4 linked regions of the Xenopus tropicalis genome follow. The protein of the gene in region 2 purifies or fractionates together with the protein of the main gene of each other region. This does not show direct contact. Links are inferred from orthologs where the notes say so. Each region holds a gene or a part of one and is shown on either strand. Other genes may lie near its edges.

What was found.
Region 1: the proteins of dicer1 (region 2) and prkra purify together in Homo sapiens (co-immunoprecipitation; 4 studies listed by BioGRID and IntAct, with this or other methods). This does not show direct contact. The link is inferred for Xenopus tropicalis from reciprocal best matches to the Homo sapiens genes DICER1 and PRKRA.
Region 3: the proteins of dicer1 (region 2) and ago3 purify together in Homo sapiens (affinity purification with mass spectrometry; 3 studies listed by BioGRID and IntAct, with this or other methods). This does not show direct contact. The link is inferred for Xenopus tropicalis from reciprocal best matches to the Homo sapiens genes DICER1 and AGO3.
Region 4: the proteins of dicer1 (region 2) and ago1 purify together in Homo sapiens (co-immunoprecipitation; 7 studies listed by BioGRID and IntAct, with this or other methods). This does not show direct contact. The link is inferred for Xenopus tropicalis from reciprocal best matches to the Homo sapiens genes DICER1 and AGO1.

The regions. Positions count from the first base shown.
Region 1 is NC_030685.2:64,079,801-64,082,896, forward strand, and holds part of prkra (interferon-inducible double-stranded RNA-dependent protein kinase activator A homolog A), read left to right. Parts: intron 1-579; coding exon 580-661; intron 662-799; coding exon 800-881; intron 882-1,223; coding exon 1,224-1,341; intron 1,342-1,824; coding exon 1,825-1,922; intron 1,923-3,096. UniProt on the Homo sapiens protein: Activates EIF2AK2/PKR in the absence of double-stranded RNA (dsRNA), leading to phosphorylation of EIF2S1/EFI2-alpha and inhibition of translation and induction of apoptosis.
Region 2 is NC_030684.2:88,595,641-88,599,211, reverse strand, and holds part of dicer1 (endoribonuclease Dicer), read left to right. Parts: intron 1-228; coding exon 229-361; intron 362-677; coding exon 678-753; intron 754-1,382; coding exon 1,383-1,522; intron 1,523-3,571. UniProt on the Homo sapiens protein: Double-stranded RNA (dsRNA) endoribonuclease playing a central role in short dsRNA-mediated post-transcriptional gene silencing.
Region 3 is NC_030678.2:81,760,046-81,764,081, forward strand, and holds the start of ago3 (protein argonaute-3), read right to left. Parts: upstream 2,804-4,036; 5' UTR 1,858-2,803; coding exon 1,839-1,857; intron 1-1,838.
Region 4 is NC_030678.2:81,780,133-81,783,703, forward strand, and holds part of ago1 (protein argonaute-1), read right to left. Parts: intron 3,536-3,571; coding exon 3,402-3,535; intron 3,030-3,401; coding exon 2,845-3,029; intron 2,038-2,844; coding exon 1,878-2,037; intron 242-1,877; coding exon 151-241; intron 1-150.

The sequences.
Region 1 (3,096 bases), on a different chromosome or scaffold from region 2:
CCATTAACAACCACCCTCTGTACCCGATCCTGTAGCCAGTTTTCTATCCATGTGCAAATTACTTCACTAAGACCAATAGACCTTAGCTTAGAAAGCAGTCGTTTGTGGGGAACGGTATCAAATGCTTTGGCAAAATCCAAATATATTATATCTACTGCATCCCCACTGTCCAGCTTCTTACTTACCTCATCATAAAAAGCAATTAAATTGGTCTGACATGACCTGTCCTTCATAAAGCCATGCTGATTACTGCTCATAATGGCATTCTCCAGTACATAATTTTGTATGTGATCCCTTAACAAGCTTTCAAATAACTTTAAACTGATCGAGTGTGAGCCCAAAGGTTATTAAATGGGAGCTGCCATATAGCATTCTTCATAGTCCACAACTGAGCCATTCAGTGTGTTTCAGTGACTATATTGGGTTCCCTTGCAAGTTATTTTCTTTGCACCTAATCTGGAAGTTTTTGAGATATATGATTGGTAAACCTGCTGAAATTTTACATTGCCTCTGCTTCAGGTACACAAAACATGTCTTTAACAGGGTTTATGCAGTAAATATTATTTGTTCTACATGTAGGAGAGGGACCAAGCAAGAAAGCCGCAAAACAAAAAGCCGCTGAATCAGCACTGAACATATTACAAGGAAGCACTGGCAAATGGTGAGTAATAAACTGGAAATCTTTTCTATGGTTTCTATACACTGTGTGTCACAATATATTTATTGAGTATTGCATATGTCCTGTCAAGAAGTAGAAATAACAGTTTACTTCCTTCTGCTGTCCTCTCTATATAAACAGCCTGCCTGTAAAGAATACTGTAAGGGATGTGCCCAAGCAACCACTGAATCAGATGAAGGAGAATCCTGTTGGCTCACTACAGGTATTATCATGGGTTTTTTTGCCTCTATTTCGTGTTTGATTCTAATGTTAACGAATGACTGATGTTATTCTCACTCTTGGTCTAAGGGACAGCTACCATATTGGATTCGGACATGGTCGTTATGTACATGTGTATAATGCACGTGTGCATGAGCAGGGCTACCATTACTAATCATGGGGCCCTTTACTACTTAGCAAGGCACATCCCAAGGGTGCCATAGTTGTGGGCCCTGCCAGCAAGTAAAGTAGGACCCCAATGGGAAAAATGGTCACACCCCACCCCTGATCTACTTTTGTATCACTGAAGTGAAAGATCAGAAAGCCTCTGTCTTTGTTCTTGTAGGAGTTATCTGTGCAGAAAGGATGGCGCCTTCCAGAATATACAGTGGCTCAAGAGTCCGGTCCCCCTCATGAAAGAGAGTTCACTATAACTTGCCGTGTGGAAACCTTTGTAGAAACTGGTATGTGTTTTGCTTATAGCATGATAGTGGGGGCAGCACTTATACCCCCACAAAATACAGATTTCACTATAATAAAGCTCTCCGTTTGTAATTGCTGAGAATCCCATTACAATATCAGTTCTTCAGTGCAGCTAAGGACTGATTATGTTTGTGCTTACTTAGATGTCTGCTGGACCTGAGCGTTCTTTTTATACTTCTCCCCACAGAGCAGTTTTAAAAGATAGATGGATGGATGGCTGTGTGTGGGTAGATAGATAAAATCTCTGATCTTTCTTTGCCTTTTCTGTTATTGGGATTGTTGGGAAGTCCCAGAATTCTTGTCCAGATATTTTACACCAAATCTTTGTTCTGCTTTTAGTTTCTCACATACAGAAAGTCTGACCATGTCTTGTTGTACTATATCCAGCATTGGTACCCAATAAGTTTTAGTATAACATGTACTTAAAATTTACACTGCTTAACACTTTTCACTTTTCACAACAGGATCTGGAACCTCTAAAAAAGTAGCCAAGAGGGTTGCTGCAGATAAACTTCTTACCAAACTTAAGGCCATTCCAGTTGATAATATGAATATATCTCTAGTAAGTATGTGTCAATATAAAATAAAAGACTGCAAGCTTTGCGCCTTTCTAATAACCCATAACATTTGAAAGCAGACATAAAATTGGATGCTATGGGTTATTTTACTGGGCAAACGTTGCCCATGCTACTAAGTCTCCCACTAGAATCTGATGTAGAACACTTGGCCTGATTTCTGTCTGTAGTATTAGGTATGTGGTGCAAATAGGGTTCGTGACCTTTAGGGCAGTGGCAGATGGGGACGTTAGTGGCCCCGCGACAAATCTTTGTTGCCGCAGGCGACTAACCTTCCCGCAATGCCATCCCACCGGCAAGAATGTAAATCGCCAGTGGGATGGCATACGTGTCGCTACAAGAGGAGGGGCGATGCATGTGTCATCCCACCGGCGATTTACATTCTTTCCAGTGGGGTGGTATTGCTGGGAGATTAGTTGCCCACGGCAACGAAGATTTGTCACGGGGTGACTTATCTCCCCATTTGCCACTGCCCTTATATTGCTGTTAGGTTGAACCACATTGACTGCAATGTTCCTCTGTATCAGCTGCAGCTTCCAATTAACTTTAGTGGGAAGTGTGCTTTGACAAACGCTATTACTGTCCAGGGGTGGTTCAGTTTCTGGTTAACGTTTAGTACAGTATATTATAGCATGGTCTATTCTTAGTAACATTTTTTTTATTGGTCTCCATTTTTTATTTTTCATAGTTTTTGAATTATTTGCTTCTTCCGACTCTTTCCAACTTTCAAATGGGGGTCACTGACTCCAGCAGTCAAAAACTATTGCTCTGTGAGGCTACAATTTTATATTTTACATTACTTATCTTTCTATGTAGGCCCCTCTCTTTATTTTCTATTCTCATATTTCTGTTTCTTTTACAAGCCACTGCCTGGTTGCTAAATTATTCAAAAAATGCAAATAATAAAAAATGAAGACCAATTGCAAGTTGTCTCGGTAGCCTTCTCTACATCATACTGAAAGTTAATTTAAAGTTGAACAATCCCTTTAAGGGACATATCAAGAGAAACATACACCATTTTTTTACATGAGCTCATTGAGTTGGGCCTATGTAGAAAAGGGTGCTTAAACACAGATATTATTAAAAAAGTATTTTTGTTTTTTTACCTGCCAAGTTTTTCTGGCGTCTCCTTTTCTTTGATAAATTGCAACTATTCAAATT
Region 2 (3,571 bases):
AGTCTGTTTGTTTACCCGGTTAGTAAGTCTAAATAAATATATATGTATGTGCGTGTGTAGATAGATAGAGAGAGAGAGAGAAAGAGATATATAATTTTTTTTTTTTTAGACAGTCAACCTTTTTATATTTGAATTTATTAATGTATTGGGAAAAGAATTTTAGAAATGCACTGTGTAAGGCTGTTTCAATTGATTTCAGCTATACAGTATTTGTATTTTCTCTTAAAGGTACTGTGCTAGGCTACCTAGTGACCCATTTACTCATCTTGCTCCTAAGTGCAAAACACGAGAGTTCCCTGATGGACTTTATCGCTCAACACTCTACCTGCCAATTAATTCTCCACTTAGAGCCCCCATTGTTGTAAGTACTTGGTAAGAATGATATTACCAACCACAAGGCTTAGTTGATGAACTACTATTAATCAGCTTTTTGAAACGGTGATTTTTTTTTTTATATTCTGTACCAGTTTTAAGGTTAATGCATTTCGCTGGAACTTTTTTATTTAAATTAGTAATGCACCTCTTGGATATTTAGAGTTTATCAAGGGGACTGCTAAACATTGTGCCTTGTTTCTTTTATTTAGAATATGGCATGTCATATCTTTGAATAGGATCATTTCTCATATCAAACCACAAGTTTTTGAAGCAGTTCTCTGAAAACATTTTAATGTTTCTAGGGCCCTCCGATGAATTGTGGAAGGCTAGCTGATAGAGCTGTAGCTCTTATATGCTGTAAAAAACTACATGAAATTGGTAAGTAATTTCCTATGAGAGAGAAATTAAAAGGTCAGTTCCAATAAGTGTTTGTGGCATGAAAATTTCTGTGTCCGCTTCCTGAACCATTTTTATCCCTTTCCTTGTGACAAGTGCTGCTTCCACTACAGCCTACTCAGTGAAGGATTCTAATGTAGTATGCCCAATTAGCAGTGCCACACTTAAAGGACAAGAATGGCCAAAATGTTAGGCATCCCCCAATGGAAAATATTGCCTTTTCAGAGAAAACTGTACAACGTTATTGGTACTAATGCGATTCTCTCTGCACCGGTGGCAAAAGCAGAGAGTCAGCTGTGCCCCCTCGCCAACGAGCCAAGGGGGCTGGCATGTCGGTCCAGCGACTAAGCTTTTAAAATATTTTTAAAAGCTTAGGTTGTCCTGAAAAAAAACTATATATTGTTTTCCTGGTTAAACTAAAATCCCCCCCACCCCTGGGGAAAGACCCCTAAAGTGATACAGTGCAAAATGTTAAACTGGCAGTAGAAGCTGGCAGTTAAAGGGTTAATTTGACATTGCTGAGTGACACTTAAATAAACCTGCACATTTAGTTTCTTTGGTGGAATTGCCTGCTTAATAATGTCATTGTGTTCTTGTTCTTTTATTTTAAGGTGAACTGGATGATCATTTAATGCCAGTTGGCAAGGAAACTGTAAAATATGAGGAGGAGCTTGATTTGCATGATGAGGAAGAAACCAGTGTTCCAGGCAGACCAGGATCCACAAAAAGAAGGCAGTGTTATCCAAAAGCTGTGAGTGTGGTTGATTGTTTATCGCCAACTTTGATGGTTTGGGTAATTTTATTTTACTGTGCAATGGCATTTTGATCTGGAACTTAAAGGGGTGCTTCACCTTTAAAATTTTTTTAGTATGTTATAGAATGCCCTGTTCCTGGCAACTTCGCAGTTGATTTTTATTTATTTTTTTATAGTTTTCCAATTATTTACCTTTCTCATCTGCTTCTTTCCAGCTAAACTAAAAGAAACTAAATAACTGGAAAACCAATATCAATATCAATGTCTACATCATATTAAAAGTTAATTTAAGATGAACTACCCCTTTAATAATAAACCATAAGAGACAAACAAACATTTTACCTGCTTAAGAATTAAGGGAATTAAATTCAGTCTGCTGCATGGGGGCTCTTATAAATATATGGTACAAATGAATATAAAAAAAATTACACAGCAAAAACTATAAAGTTTTTCCCTCAAGTCTGACATACTTTGTGATTAGTTACATTATTCTTTGTCTTCAGTGCTGGAGGCATTATGTGACATAAAACAATCTGGCATTCACATCTGCAGTATCTGTTGTAATAGTAGCATACATATGCTTTGTACTATGTATGTATGTGGACTACAGTTAAGAGAAATAAACTAGGCGATGTAGATAATCAAGCTGAAAGTGGTCTTTAGGGCTCATGTTTACATAGCAGATCTACTGTATGAAAACCTCCAGAAAATGGCACATTTGATGCCAAATAGTTTTTGTAGGTACTGGGAATCAAACATGTAAAAAAAAGTATGTATAAATTTTATTCACTTTATAGCATCACTATTTCTTTACATAGTTTTAGGTGTGCCTCAACTGTAAAGGTGGTCATACATTGGTTGATAAAGCTGACAACTTTGTCCTTCTGCCCCTTGTATGCATTGGCACATTAATGTGATCCTGTCCTGAGGACTTGCATTGGTGACCATTATGATCAAATCATTGGCCCAAGGGCAAAATGATCAGATCAGTCTATTTCCCAGCTCAAAGTGGGAGTATCATGGAAAGATATGCATGTTTGTAGACCTCACCAAATGTTCAGTCCTTACAAATAAGCTGACTGTTTAGAATGTTTATTCAGGCATAATTGAAAAACATATACATGGGAAGTAGCATGCATATACACCACCATTTAATAGAAGAAATAAAATTACAAAAACATAGGGCCCGATTCACTAAAGTCCGAAATAAGGAGTGCTATTTATAGCATGCGTTAAAAATCTTATCACTTCTTATTTTTCGCTCGATTCACTAAAAGGACACTTGTCATAATTAAGAAGCGATGTTCTTGGCGTTATTTATCTTGCGACGACATATTTTCAAGCAACGTGCTGCGTAATATGTTGTGCGCTGCGTAATATATTGCTTGAAAATATGTCGTCTCAAGATAAATAACGCCAAGAACATCGCTTCTTAATTATGACAAGTGTCCTTTTAGTGAATCGAGCGAAAAATAAGAAGTGATAAGATTTTTAACGCATGCTATAAATAGCACTCCTTATTTCGGACTTTAGTGAATCGGGCCCATAGTGTCTAAATTACAAAGTTCTTTACGCAAGGAGTGCATGGTTGTGGGATGGTTTCATTTAGATTGAGATGACCCCGTATTTATTTGAAAGCAAATCAGAAATAATTCTGGGAAATAGACAAAGTTCTCCTGACATCTGGTTTATGCACGGATTAGGAGTTTACTTCCTCGATTGAGCAGTTCTCATAGTTTTTAAAGCCTTCTCCCAACCTGCCCCTTCCATTGCTGCTATAGATAAGTGGGGAATAGACTGAGACATTGCCAGAGAGGGCAGAATATACAATGTGACATCACCAGAGGGGAAACACTCAGACAAAAGTTAGGTTTGCAACCTGTGACTAGAGGAGATTGTCTGCATCTCCGAGGCTTTTGGGTCAACTTGCACATCAAGTGTTCTCCTTTCAAATTTCCTGTAGACTACAGTTCATCCAGTAGGTTTTATAGCGCTAACTTTGCATGCTGTAACAGTGGTGTATATGTGGGTTATTTCTGGGGGCAT
Region 3 (4,036 bases), on a different chromosome or scaffold from region 2:
TAGCTTTACTCTTCTCACAGTAGCTGAAGTGACATAAATGATTGACCATATGGAGTGTCTTCATCTTGGGGCCCCTACATACCACATACTTTGGTAAACCTATACACATTGGCCATCATGTGTGAGATAAGATTCTGCAAATGGAAGCTTTGAGGAAATTTTTTAAAAAAAATTAAAAACTGATAACTCTAGGAAAGCACTGCAACTTGGTAGTTTGGAGTAAAGAGACATATTTACTAATTTTGGATTCATCAGAATTTGTTCTTCCCAAAAATGCATGGTTTTCTAGGGTGAACCTACTGTTAGTCAAATTTTTGGCCTTGAAATCTGAAGTATGCAGATTTCTGGACCAGTGCTTTGAAATTTGGTAGTGTACCAATGAAAGTTTTGGGTGAGAAATCCATGAAACTCCATAAAACTATAAATATTTGGTATTGGTATGTTCAGTACATGGTACTTTCCAAATCAGTTGTATTTATTTGCATAAAATAAATGATGTCTCTGATATGTGTTTACATTATGGATTTTTTTTTATTTTTTAGCTATTTAGAAGGATATATCTTGTTACAGAAATGAAATTATACCAACATTCTAGCATATTTTAAAACCTATAAACTTAAGTACCCCCAGTAAAGGCCCCTAAAATGAAGGAGCACAAAATGTTCAAAAACCGTCAATAGAAGTACAACAAATACACTGCCAGTGAAAGTGGTAAAGGGGACCTTAACTAAACATTAAATCAGTGTTTGTTTTTAAGAATCAGACCCAGAAAACATAAAGGAATAAACAATGTAACTGAAATTAGGTCCCCAAAGGTCTTTTCAGGAGTCAGGGCCAAGAGTGCAGAGAATACAAACCGTCAAATACTACTTAATAGCAATTATATGTACAAATATAGAGAGAACCCCTTAATTAGCAATTGTACAGTTGACAGAAAAGCTGTATTAAACGGCTAGATCAGGCATATGGTAGATTAAGGATTATTGGACTTGGATTATTGACAATTTTGTCAGATGAAAGGCAGTGAAGAGGAGTAGCATTCCTGCATTATATGTTGTGAAAAATGTGTAATATAAGCATATTATAGGTTTTAGGACCATATATACATACATATAAAAGAATGAGGCTGAAGGCCAAGAGCTTTTATACAGGTCATGAAACACCCCCTTCCCTTGTGGCATCAGCTCCACAGTCTGGGAACCACTGCCTTATTTGATGCATTACTTTGTTCTCAACAATCAGCAGCATAAATGCAAAGGAAAGTGGAAGCAGGAGACTTTTACAGCTGTGGTGAATCTTTTGCTAGCGCTAGGGCACAAGACAACTACTATATATTTGTTATTATGGTGCCAAGTTGACTATTAATGGACTACTGACAATCATGGTTAAGGAAAGGAAATACTTATTTATGTCAGTTATCCAACACAGGTAACACTTTGGCAACTTGTTTTTTATTTGCAATGCTTCCAATGGGGTTTAAACAAAGAAGCATTTTGTAGTCTACCTACAGTTCAATACACAGTCTATAGCCAAATGATTAAGTGCAACAATACATTTTGGAAAAAAAAAGAGAAAAACAAGCAATGCCCCTTTGTTGGATGTGTATTTAGCAGGAAAAAAATGAGAAATGACAGGGACTAATGGGGTATAGTTGCAGCACCAAAAAAAAGTCTAACTTTCCTCAAGCTGTTGGACTACACTCTGCTAATCTTTCCACAGCTACCTCTGCAACAGTTAGACATTACCACTATACACTATCAAATCAATTCCAGAGGTTCCAGAATGCAGAATGCTGTTGACAGAATGTTGAGTTAACAGAACAGCAAACTATTCCTCACCTGCGGTTCCGATTTCCATTCATGGAGGTCAATGGACGCTTCACCGAATCTGTAGCTCCCAATGAGGAGTAGAAAAGAGATGGCAAAGAGTTCCTCTTGTCTCCTGGAGTACCCTAAGCACTGGGGCCTACTGCCCCCAAAGACAAGACCCTTTTGAGCCACCAACAACCAATGGCACTGAGCTTTTGCAGGCAGATAGAGGAAAGCTAGTTGGCAGTGTAGTGTAGTAGTCACTCTAAGAATGGGGCTCTCTCTTGGCTTCTCCTGCTGGCTTGTCACACAACTCCACAGCTGGGGGGGATTTAGTCACCTGGCTGCCTGTTTTCACAACAGGAGTTTGTGATAAGAGCTTGACAGCTGAGCAGCAATTGGCTGGAATGAACAAGTGGGAGGGGAGAATGGATAGCAGCGCAATGGCGGTTGCCTTGGTGATTGGCTGAGTCACCTCCAAGTCCTCATCGCTTACTTCCACCACACTGGCCTGAGTGGGGAACCCCAAAAGCTGGTTGGCTGACTCATACTCCAGCGACCGGAGTGAGAGCTTCTTGTGCACCCCACTGCCGCCCCTGATTGGTTACCTTTTTGCCAGAGTGTTAATTTTCAATGAAAGCCAACAAGCGATTGGCTGACTTCTTCCAACACCTCAGCGGAGTAAGAGCACCTGGTCGCTATTGGCTGCCGAGGAGTATGGGGGTCCTCCTGTTGACAGGGCAACAGCTAGGAGTTTATTGGTGAAGTTTTCCGTCCACGTCAGCCAAACAAATTATGTTATCTGCCTCTGATGGAGCAGCAGCCACTGACTTCGCCCGGTCCTCCTGTCTCCTCCACTACTGAGGAGGAGTGAGACTCTGATGCCTGCACCCTCCCACTCAGGCCGGACATGACGCCGGGAGTAACGGTAGCTGCTAGTTCCTAGTTGCTAATGGCGAGTGACATCACAAACACGTGAAGACGTGGCGACGTCTCCAACACGTAACATTCGGCGCCTTCTTCAAACGCCTGTATAAGTAGCTTATGGGTGAGTTCGCTCCTCAGTGGTTACTCGGGGATGCTATGGAGAGAATGGCTTGTTAAAGGTAGTGGCACAGCGTGCTATTGAGTGAGTATTGGGTTGCGCTGGGAAGCATTATTTGTTTTCTTGGGATAGGATTAAATGCAGGAGTTTATTCAGTTCTTGCCTGAATACTGGGGCTCTTGCTGTTCAGTGGAGGCTGTGGATCTTTTACACACTTGCTATTCTCTGTAAGGAGTGTGCCCTTAATATTAGGGGGTTGTTGGAGCCTGCTTATATGTGGAGTGCTTGTATTTCTTGCTTTAAGGGTGCTGATGAGTTTTGGGGTGTGCGTTTTGTTGGTTTTTTTTTTGGGGTTTTGATTTTTTTTTCGGTTATGTTGACATGCTGCACAATTCTGAGCTATGGGGAAGAGTTTTGGAGAGTTAGATAATTTTGGGGGTGGCTTTTTTTTTTCTATTAGGACATTTAGAGCCTAGTAGGCGCCTTCTTCACTTGGCTATATAAACAGAACACAGTCCAGCTCTTAGTGGTTACTGGTGGATGCCTGGAGAAGAACACTTCACTGAACGCAGGAAGTGCTTTTAGCTCTTTTGAGTTGAAATGATTCGCTTTTGTAGGTGTAGAATAAAATCTGTATTCACTTTTCCTTGTGGGATCTATCTGTACATTTGGAAAAAAGATGCACTTGCTGTTGCTGGCTATAGCTGTATGTACACTTGCTGGTCTCTGTATGGTGTGTGTGCCCTTAATATAAGGGGTTATGTGTCAAGTGGTTTTATTTATTGGTGTAATAGATGCTCTTAAGTTTTTAAGTGTGTGTATTTTTGTTTTATTGAAGTGGGTTTTTTATTTTTTTTGTGTATTCTGACATTTTCAGGTGAAGGTGGGTGGATGTGCTGCAAATGTGTGAGCTATAGGGATGAGTTTTGGAATTTGCTTACATTTTTGGTGTGTTGCATAATTTTAGGGGATGGCTGAATTTTTTTTGAGGGGACAGGTTTTTGTGTGCTTAGGCATAATTCTGGTGTGTGTGTGTGTGCGCCCAGGAACGGACTTTCCTTGTCACATGACCATACTTTGGGGCGGGCTGATCGGGCCTGGATGGGATGCCACCTGGAGCGTTTGAAAGATGTGCGATGTCTGCGACTGTTGCAGTAACCGGAAGCAGCTGTTACCATGGAAA
Region 4 (3,571 bases), on a different chromosome or scaffold from region 2:
CTCTAGGACCAAGAACAAAACACTATATATATCTGCTTAAAAAAAAAAAAGCTTTTCAGACACTCAAACATTTACATAGATAGTTTGCAATGCAGTGGTATCTTTTAATGCAATCCTTATCCCCCCCCCCCATTCCAGTCTGTGATTTACCGCAGTAATAGAGGGCTTCTTGCCATCACCAGCAGGTGGGTGTGTAACATCTGCTCCAAGAAATATAACTGGCTGCTGGAAGACCGCAGACCTGTTGAGATGTTTAAAATATATAAGCTGAATATTTAGACTAATTTCACATTAAAGATCCCTGTGACTGTTCTTCTAAAACATATTTTTATTGGCTACCAACTGCAGTGGTATTTCTAGAGACTGTTTTGACCCCAGCAGGTATGAATTTAAAAAAAAATATATAGTATGTTCTATTGAATCTGTATTACAAATATATACCTCCTATTTATCTCAATGCCAACCTCAAATATAAAGGTTTAATATTAGGCCCCTTTTTAAAGGATACGGTAAGTAAGCCTTTTATATTATATGTATAATAAAACGTAAGAAAGTAACCGATCTTTAGCTGCAGTTTTCAGCTTTTTTCAGATTCAACGTTGGGAGAGAAGTGTGTCATTATTGGGGGCTGTTTAAAGACTTTTTATGGATTTTAAAATAAAAGCTTTAATGCATTTAACAATTCACACAATTTTTGAAAATGTATCATTTACTATCAAACTAATAAAATAATAAGAAAAATCAGCCACATGCAATTTTACACAAACACAATTCAGGTATAGGATCTCTTATCCAGAAACCCAATAACCTGAAAGCTCCAAATGATGGGAAGCTTATCTCCAATAGACTCCATTTTAACAGAAATAAGTTTGGTTATGTTGGCATATAGGATATATATGGCATGCTGGTTCAGAAAGTATACTTCCACTGTAGTAATTTGTTAGTAAAGTATGTGTCCCGATGACAATGTCAGTATGATCATTTTAAGGAAACTAAACAAGGCTGGTTAAAATAAGTAGTATAGGATATACAGCAGGGAAAATAAGTATTGAACACGTCAACATTTTTCTCAGTAAATATATTTCTAATGAGGCTATTGACATGAAATTTACACCAGATGCCTTGCAGTGCTGGGGTCCTGAATTTGTTTCCAGCAACAGGTAACTACGTGGGTTTCCTCGGAATACTCCAGTTTGCTCTCACACTCCAAAAACATACAGGCAGGTTAACTGACTCCTGATAAAATTTACCCTACTGTGTGTTTGAATTTGATTGGGACCTTACGCTCCACTGGGGAAGGGACTCATGTGAATGACATATTATTTCTGTAAAAGCACTGCGGAAAACTGTCAGCGCTATATAATACCAGGTAGAAATGTTACGAAAGTTCCAATATAATAAATGGTAATAATGGTAGTTCTAGTTTCACCCTCAGTGCAGTTAAGTGAACTGAAAAACCACATGGCTATTAGGGCTCTGGTACACGGGGAGATTAGTCGCCCGCGGCAAAACTCCCTGCTCGCGGGCGACTAATCTCCCCGGGCGACTAATCATGTAAGTCGCCGGCGGGATGGCAGACGCGGCGGGGCGATTTTGGGAAATCGCCGAAAAAGGCTCGCGAGTCCATTTTGGCGATTTGCGCGAAATCGCGCCGCCGCGTCTGCCATCCCGCCGGCGACTTACATGTTCGCCGGTGGGATGGCAGGGGGAAGGCAACTCGGGGAGATTAGTCGCCCGCGAGCAGGGAGTTTTGCCGCGGGCGACTAATCTCCCCGTGTGCCAGAGCCCTTAAAGTGAAGGGAGTAAAAAAAAAACAAAACAAAAAAAACTGCTATCACACTGTGTGCACAGCAGAAAATGCACCGTTGATAACGCACCGTTGATGAGGTACTAAAATGTTGTTGATACCACCCAGCTTGACATTGATCTTCAGGCAGAGGTTGCTGAGCGTCTGAGGAGAAGTCTTAACTACATTTTTCACCTGCACACACTGAGTGGCCATCCCAAGCAATGTATCCCCAACACGTTTCACTTCCGCTAAAAAGAAAAAAAAAAGTTATCATTACCTTATTTTAAGCAATATATACCATCCAAGCTTACACTGTCTTCCACAGAGAACTATTTCCTGACTGCAGCACTGAGGACAGGAACAAGCCACAAGCAGGCAGTCTTTAAACTCTGTTGGGCTCTACTTAAAACACAAAGAAGGGAAAGTGGGCGTAATCACTGCTTTTTTCTCAAATAGTCCTATTTAGCAGCTAACTCAGGCTTAGGTGGTGGAATCAATTTGTATAAAAATACGTGTAAACGGGAATAGTGTAATCATGCTAGCCCTGAATAGAGTCATCCCACTGAAAACCATTCATTCTACAAAAAAAATATAGAGCCTGTGGTGTAAATGGTTAGATTGCTTTTCTATTTTGGAGGACCAGAGTGGAAAAATTGAAGCTTTATATTATATTGCTGACATTTTATGAATATACATTTTAGCTTCATGCAAATGTTGTAGTTTATCTCCTACTAAAGGAAAGTATTTATTCTAAAATATAAATGTGCTATTTTCTTAAGTCAGACAAATGCCATGGATTATACAAGGTCACTTTGGCCACTTCAGTGGTTCCACGCTAGTGTGGAACCCCAAATATATAGAGGACACAAAAGCAAGGTTACAAGTGCTGGTGACTACCTTCACCAAAGCCTATAAATTAGTAAGTGAATACGCTTCCATTGGTGATCCACTTGTTACTTTTGTGGAGGGTCTGTCACCCACCACCTTTCATCTCCCATCCCACCCTAAAATGTACTAGTGAGACAGCAGCTTTTTAATTTTCAATTGATAATTACCATATACAGGTGTTTTCCCTGGCAGAATAACAATGATGAGCTGAAGGCCAGAATATGTGTTTTTCAAGTGCCGGAACATGGGCTCCACACTGTCTGCCCCCTGTGCATATTTACAGAAGCATGGCTGACCCTGGATTGGCATTCCTGCATCTTTTGAGATTTTGCGGAGTTGGTCGGTAAAATTTCTGGAATGGGAGGGAACAGAAGTCAGGATCAAAAAATAGTTACCCTTTTTGTTTGTGCCATGGCTAATAACTCACAGCAACCAATTAGCAGTTAACATTTACAAGTAACCTGATCGGATGCAATGGGCCACTAGGGCTGCCAAACCTCACCTAAGCTCACCCATGGGGCAAAGTCACTCCCTGCCCTGTGTGTTTAATAAAGAAATGAGGAAAAATGTAAAGGTATACTGCCACTTTCTCAATACACAAGACAGTTTACAAGGCAACAATGATAACGTTAAAGCTAAACAGCTATATGTTTTTTCTGATATTAAAAGATAGAGTAAGTTTTGGAACAGAAAATTTTGCAGCAGCCCTCGCCTTTGCACTTACTTCAGCACTTCTTCCCTGCATTGCTTCTGTGGAGCGAAACATGCAATTGCCCAGACTTTTATCTCAATGCCATTGTAGAACTGCTTTCCTCGCATGTCCCAGACACCTTGGTTTGGAGTTGCAATTGCTCTGTTCTGCAAAAAACAAATTTGTTTTAAAGTAATTTATTC